Linked DNA regions of Kluyveromyces lactis. Each later gene encodes a partner of the first gene's protein in a complex. Links are inferred from orthologs where the notes say so. Each region holds a gene or a part of one and is shown on either strand. Other genes may lie near its edges. The genes, in order: IOC2 and IOC4.

Evidence for each region.
Region 2: IOC2 (region 1) and IOC4 share a complex: the UniProt entries of both Saccharomyces cerevisiae proteins name them as parts of the ISW1B complex. The link is inferred for Kluyveromyces lactis from reciprocal best matches to the Saccharomyces cerevisiae genes IOC2 and IOC4.

What each region holds. Positions count from the first base shown.
Region 1 is NC_006042.1:1,804,031-1,808,486, reverse strand, and holds IOC2 (Ioc2p), read left to right. Parts: upstream 1-1,429; coding exon 1,430-3,649; downstream 3,650-4,456. Other genes in the region: serine/threonine protein kinase KIN2, read right to left, coding at 1-224; GIS3 (Gis3p), read left to right, coding at 4,121-4,456. UniProt on the Saccharomyces cerevisiae protein: Functions as a component of the ISW1B complex, which acts in remodeling the chromatin by catalyzing an ATP-dependent alteration in the structure of nucleosomal DNA.
Region 2 is NC_006042.1:2,471,656-2,474,984, forward strand, and holds IOC4 (Ioc4p), read right to left. Parts: upstream 1,921-3,329; coding exon 595-1,920; downstream 1-594. Other genes in the region: KLLA0_F26807g (uncharacterized protein), read right to left, coding at 3,087-3,329. UniProt on the Saccharomyces cerevisiae protein: Functions as a component of the ISW1B complex, which acts in remodeling the chromatin by catalyzing an ATP-dependent alteration in the structure of nucleosomal DNA.

The DNA.
Region 1 (4,456 bases):
GGGACAGACTGTGGTACAGTCTGCAGTTGCGGTTGCTGCTGCGGTTGTTGCGTGGTATCATTCACAATGTTAGCAGCGGGCATGAGTCCCGGAGCACTGCTCTCTGAGACTCGACGACCCATCATACGAGGCGTAGCAGGTGCCATTGGCGGCTGCTGATGTTCACCCTCCCTGTCGCCCATATGGAAATGAGGATTTACGTGGTAATCTTGAGCTGAAGGCATCGTGGATATAAACTATGAGTTAAACGAAACCAAAGTAAAATAATTGGCACCAATAAAACAAACCCTAGAAAAAGGGGGAAAACAACTTCTAGTGTACTGTGAAAGTAATCAATTCAAGATTGGTTCTAAATATCGTTTCGTCACTCCCCAATTCAATCCAAAGGCCAATGACAACCCAGAAAACAAGAGAAAGAGAGAGATATGAAATGGACCAAAAAAATAAAAGAGAGTAGAAAACACTGTACTTCTTTCTTGCTTTCCTAACGTCAACTCCGACAAAGAATGGAATGGATTCTTTAACTTCAAGCTCGATTAATGTCTCACAAGCAGGGACAAAACGATGCTATCTTCACCAGGCCAGGCTTTGTTTACTTGTACTAAAGTATTCTTTAATCATATCTTTTAATTTTTTGTTTTTTTGTTCCCCTGTATTAATTCGTAATAAATTCCCACCGAGATGGAAGAGATCTTTGCTTCTAATATTACGTACAAGAAGGGGAGGCAAAAAGGGCGAGGCGAAGAGAGTAAGAAAACCTGCAGTATAGTATGTGATGTGTGGGTGTATTGGGGATAATACGACCACAGAAAAGTGTATTTAACTCATAAGACGGCGGGCCAGATGACATGAGTAGCGGAAGTAAACGGCATACACAAAGAACTTTCAGCACAAGTGTTAAGTGATGTTTATAGATCTATACAGTGTCAAAGATTCATTTAAGCCTCCTCTATTCACGTAAATGTCAAGTAAATTATGCATTGTCAACTGTCAAGTACAGCAAAGAACGCGCGAGAACTTAAAAATGAAAATGAAAGATTGGCAGATAACTCGATTACCCGGACTTATATTTGGTTTCGCGATTTTTTTTTTTTTTCAAATTTTCAAATTTCGAATTGTGCTTCAAAATGCAAACAGCCTTTAAGCTTCATACATTATATATCAGGTTTAAGATGTTGATTTCAAAGTAGTGATTTTAGAACGTAGAGAATTTATATTGAGTTTAAGTTTAATCTTTATATCCTCGTACAAGTGGAAAAGGGAGTAGTCTGGAGTGTTCTAATTGAGGAATTGGAATTGCAGGTGAAAGTCGTGTATCGAAACCAAAAACTGTGAGAATAGGGAAACAATACGATTCAATACGATACGACACGATCTATAAATCAACTGCAGAAAGGGAATTCAAAAGAAAAAATATATAGTGTCTAGTATGAAGAGAAGTAGTAGACTTAGACGCAGGGCAGAGCCAGAGCCAGAGCAAGAGGCAAAGCAAGAGCAGGAGATCAGTACGAAAGTCGAGACGAAAGCTGAAGAGACGGCCCTTCCCAATGGTGACGTAGAATCAGATTACGAAACAACGGCTGTGAAATGGGATGACTATATCGACCGAACAATCTTGAACCAGTTAAATAAGTTGCCCCCAATCGCGTTGGATTTTGTACCGTTGCAGGAATTGATCCAGTCCTGGTATTATCAGTACAGTGTGATGTGGTTCCATAACGTTTGTACTGGTTACTGGACGCTAGGTTTCACTACGGGGAAACCTTGGTGGACTGAAATCACGTTTGATGAAAGAATAATGCTCTTAGATTATAATGCGGGATGGAGTCTCGAAAATGATTCGTTGGATTTGGTTCAATCGGAGGATCCAAATGGGGGCAGCACGGATCAGGACGAAGAGGGTCATATACTGAATTTATTCAAGAGTATCTTGTTGAGGTTGATCAGGTCTTTAGAACAGGATAAGACGGTATCCTTGAAACATTGGGATGAAATAGTGAAGTACCACATTTTTAATTCGAAATTAAACAAATCTCTACTTTGGTACACAGAGGATATCAATAGCAAATTCGCGGATCTCAACATATTAAAACAGTTCGAGATCATTTTCCATGTCATTAAATTGGTAGAAAGAAAGAACATTGGTTTTAGGAACTATTTACAAAACCATTTGGATAGCTTCCAATTCCCTGAGATTTGGGAGAATGATGCTACCTCTTTGGTGGTCTTACCCACTGGAAAGATTATAAGGAAACAGGTATCGGTCAAACCAGAATCAAACGGATTGAACATACCTATAAAGTTACAGAATTGTGTTCTTGTCGAAGAGACAGAAGCCACTATAGACGTAATTCATTTGGATTATTCCGATGAGATCGACGCCTATTTAAATGATGTCAAGATCGATTATGAAACGTTAGCACATGATTATAGAAGCTTCGTCGAATATCTACAAACGATAGATGATATTGATTTTCAAGAATTTTTCCAAGGCTTAATAGAATACCATGCAGAGGCAGAGGTTTACGGACGTAAATTGTATGCTAACAGATTGAAACAACAGTCTATGCAAGCTCTAATGGTCAGAAGAAAGAGATCTTCCAGAATAGTGGCCCGCGATGAAGGACATCAAAAGAAGGAGACGGAAACGAAATGGTATGACAAGCTTGACCGCAGAGAACAATTCTTACGCCATCGCAACAGAATCTTAACAAGACGTACGAAGAAATTAAAGGATTACCTATGGTCTTTACTATGGGAAAAGTTTGATAAAGATTTTAGACAAGAGAGACTAAAGAGGAAAAACATGGATGACACAATAGATATAGATGGCGAGCAGTTTCTACAAGAAGTCGACTCATATGTGCTTGGGTATGGTAGAAGTTTTAAACAATGGATTATTCCAGTCGACGAAAGTGCGTATAGTTACAAAGACGTGGAGACATTAGAGTTACCAGCAGACGTTTGTATCACACAACAGGATCTTGACAGTCTGTCCAAATTTGGTATTCCAACGAACAACTATCAAGTCGATTCTCAGGATTGGTATTTGGATTGCAAGAGTGGAAAACACGGTATTAACGATTTCAAGAAAGTGAAGGACCAAAAGATAGTATGTTGTGAAAAAAGCCATATATGGGAACTTTGGGAGGAGCAGGACCCATCAGTAATAGCCATCCTTTCACATGGACATGACCACATGTTAACACCCAGAGAACTTGGAGGGGTAACGATGTATGACGAGAACCTTCGTAGAAGATCTTCGAGAAGGGACGAATCGGTTAACGGCAAGGCATCTTACATCGAGAATAGGCCTACGGAGAGGAAACCTTTCGATGTCATGGAACCCTTTATCTCGTCAAGATGTTTACATGAGATGGAATCTGAACTAAGACAAAATTTTGCTGCCGATGTGAAACTAATAAGAACCAATGAAAGAAAGAAGGCAGAGGAAAAGGAAAAACGTCGCAGAATCAAGGAAGAGAAGAAAAGGCAACTGGAGTTGACAAAATCACCTTCAACTGCCTCACCCTCGACTACACCAAATCAACCCCCAGTAACTTCCAGTACGTCGCCAACTACGCAACAAACACCAGATCAGCACAAACCTCAACCGGCTTCATGGCAAATACAGCAAGCATCCCAATAGTAAGCCGCAAAATGTAATATTAGCATATACATATATATATATATTTACAATCTATAATCGCGATGCACATTCCGTTTGAGATTTTCAATCACATGACTGCAAATCCCTTTTCCGGTCAACAATTGCGGTCTTTCCTAAAAAGTCATTAAATTCCCGAAAAAGCTGACAACAGCGATTTCTTTTTCAGTCAAGCTGCCATCCGTCATCAATTGCCCGAAGGCATCTTCCATAATTAGAGAGTGCTTATTTATATGAAACGATGGATATATAACATAAGAAGGTGTAAACGGGATCCTAATTACTGTCCAGGACGCGTATATCATCACCTACCAGGTTAATGCTACAAAAGGCTACATAACTAAAACCTTATAAATCAGTTCCGTGTTTGTATTTGAAGGATTAGAGCAGAGGTCATCAAAACAAGCAGCAGGCAGCGGAAAGAAAACTTATCAATTAGAGAAAGTAAAGAGTATGGGGCTGTTAGTACTGAACACGATGACGAATCCTGGCCCAATGCCTATATTGAATCATATAAAATCTAAGGCTAGAATATTTGAACCGACGACAAAATATTCAAGGCACAAGCTGAAACAAGATCTCAAGGCGCTGGGTAATGTCAATGAATATGAGGTTAATTCAAACCAGAGAACCTTCTCTAGTCCAGTTTCGGTGTCTCCTTCGTCTACACCCGATGCATCATCTCTAACCCCTTCTTTGTCAAGTGTTCTTTGTCAGATAAAGAAAAGAAGCAAAGACCGCAGAAATACAGGATCCACCGTATCTTCAACGGATTCGCTACGGAGCATA
Region 2 (3,329 bases), about 670 kb from region 1:
ACCTACAGGATGCCTGGCTTAAGCCTATCTTACGACACAAACCATAAGAATCTTACACCAAATGCAGTGACACAATTTCACGAGGTGGATACTGCCCCGCCTCCTCGTGGCACCTCGCCTCCCCTCAGGAATCAAGCCGTCATGTGTTGAATAGCCATGAACCCATATCTCAAGAAGACGCCATGGTAAATTCCATTATGAAATATGTTTATTGAGTGAGTCTTCGATAAAACCATACTTGTGTTTCCTTTTGAGTAAAGTAAGTGCAATATATCTTGAGTCGACGTAACGCAGAAGAATATGTATTGATGGAGATGACTCCAGTGAATGTCCCTCTCATTTAAACGTCTTTCTGATACGTTTATCAGTCATCTGTTGAGTGACCTCCAGAAGAGAATTGAAAGTAGTTCATTATTTTTTTTTACATATTCTCCTTACCACGCTGCAGTGCATAACCACTATATTATGGAGAAGAGCACAACCAAGGCCACCCGAAATATAAACAGTCAAATATGCTAAAAGCTTAATTAATCAAGTCGGAAAGCGTGGCTGATATACAAGCTACGTTGTTAAAACTCTTTAAAATGAAGACCACTACCCAGCTGCAGTGACTTGGGGTGACTCTGGATTGGGCTCATTTTTATCAGGCTCTGGTTTGATTATCTGTGCATCTGAAGACCATGATGAAGTATCAAATTGGAATGGATGATCAAAAATTTCTTCGTATGCTTCCAAAAACTTACCCAAAACATTTGATTCTTGAAGAGCTTGCTTTTTCAAATTGAGAAGAACCCGATAGTTTAATAGGAACTCTGGATTTGATAAAAACATTGTCCATAATTCGTTATGCTTTCCTTTCAAAGAGAGACACATGGCTAGTTCATCCGAAATTAAATGAATTAAGTCTGGATCATCGTTTTTATCCAAAATATATTCTATAAGCATTTTGTTAGCAGCAGACAATCTGTCTTTCAACTCTAATTTCAAATCATTATGGATCTCAAGATTTTTTTTGGTAATTAGCTTTGTCGCAAAAGGTGGGTGGGAATCTAATTCTAAGTCCTGGGGCCCTAACCCCACAATCTTCCAATCGACATCATCTTCGTAATGATATATAACTGGCTTAGTTTTTGCTTTTGGTAGGACAGCTTTAGTACTTTTTTTCGTTGCAGCTTTGGCCTTACCTTTGGTTGTGACCTTTGACCTTGACTTTGGTACTGAGGGGCTTTCTTCATCCAGGTCTTCCGAGATGTCACTCTCATCAATAATATCTGTGTCTCTATGTTTATCCTTATTTTTATCATCATCTGTTGTTTTCGTATTAGATCTTGTTGACCTTCTTGGGGCTGGTTTCGGCTTCTTTGCCTTCGTCCTAGAACTGCTTCGAGTTGGTCTCCTCTTCGAACTTCCCTCAGAGTCAACATTTTCCACGTAATCATCTTCGTCTTCGTCATTTTCGCCTTCTGTGTAGTCATCATCATCTGGTTTCCCACTGGATCCATACTCCACAAACTCCCACACGTCAATACCGGTAGTCAAACCTTGTTTAGCCATTTCATAGGCATGGACCAAATTTTTCGAAGTCTTACTGTTAACTTTAGATAAGAAAGCCTCGATCTGTGGTAGTGTCAACTCATGCAAATTACGTGGGTTTAACCAAATGTAGGAATCATCATGAAAAAACTTCACGCAATAATTGGTTAACTCACGAGTAAATTTCTTAAAAGTAAGCACAGGTGAATATTCAATATTCTCAGCACTATCTGAATCTTGGTCTGATTCATCTGGAAGCTTGGATCTATTTTTCGTAAGAATTTGCTGAGGTATTATCTCAAACGGTATAACCATCGCTGGCCATGGTGGATAACCTTTTACTTTTGCAATTACAATATCCGTAGGTTGCAACATTTTTGACACCATTATGAAATGCACAGTTTTCGCTATTGAAGTATACCTAGCAGATACTTGAAACACCAAGGGTTGAATACCTAGATATTCCACAATCCTTAAAGAAATCGCATTTCACAGTAGCAGTTAAGTAACCTGAAATTTACGATTTCGTGTTTAAAAATCATTGAAAATAAAGCTTCTAAGGCAAAAACATTATATCACATGCAAATAGCCAAGCAATAATGAACCTTACCATCCAAGACTGATTATTTGCTACGCTAACCATAAGAATAGTAAACCTTAATTTATAACTGAAATAAGTTTTAGTATACACCAGCGAAGAAAAGAAAATGTACAAATACATATATATATATAGAACTGTCACAAACGATAATTCTTCTCGGAGAAAACCTACAAACGATAGGAGAAAAGGGTCCAGAGGAAACGGGTTATTTATTAAGAAAATAGGAAGAGAGAAGAATTAGGCATAGAGATAATGATATAGTAAAAGGAAAGCTTGTCCTTCAAAGTCTTATATCATTTCTGAGAGTCCATAGAATGTAAAAAAAAATTAATAAAAGGAAAAGGAAAAGGGTTAAAAAGTCAAGTGGTATGAGAGTTTTTCATCAGTTGCGCTTGGATAATTAAAATTTGTACAGCCTCTGATAGCCAGGAAATGTGTAAGAGTCACAGATCTCTGACATGTCGTATCGGTAGTAATTGAATTAAACTTAAAGTCAATTTGTATTGTATCCTATTTCTATTTCATTTGAGTTTAGTTTAGTTTCGTCTCCGCCCTGCACGCTTCTTTGATCTTTCAATTCAACCAGAGAATCGGGAGATCGACGGCCGATCTACAATTCGAACATTTTCGATGACAAGTCATCAAGGAAAGAGAAGGTGGATACAGATATCTTGAACAGTTGTTTCTAGTGCCACTGAACCAGTCAATTTGAGAATAATAAGATCCAGGAAGGAAAGTAGTAGAAAAAAAGGATGTAAAAAAACAGTTAGCTCACAACACGTAGACAGGCATAAATTAACTGATAACAACAACGAAAATATAACAGAACAAAAGTTTGCTTCAAAGTAGTTAATTAGATTCATATGGTTTTCAGCTCTTTTCATGTCTTTCTGTGCCATTTCTTTGAAGTGGTCAGTGTTTCACAGAATTCCAGTTAAGAAATCCCTTAAGTTCAAAACTGGCCATGTTGAGAGTTAACGCCGTTGAAGTATTGTTCGTAGGCGGCAGCATGGTCTGGGTTTAAATAAGAAGCATTAGTGAAATTCGGAGTTTGGCCCGTGCCTTGAACCTGAGGTTGCTGGTGCTGTACGGATTGGGGTTGTTGTTGCTGTTGTGAATTTTGGCCCTGCTGTTGGAGCGCCAAACGTTGTTGCTGTTGCTGTTGTTGCTGTTGTTGCTGCTGCTGCTGCTGCTG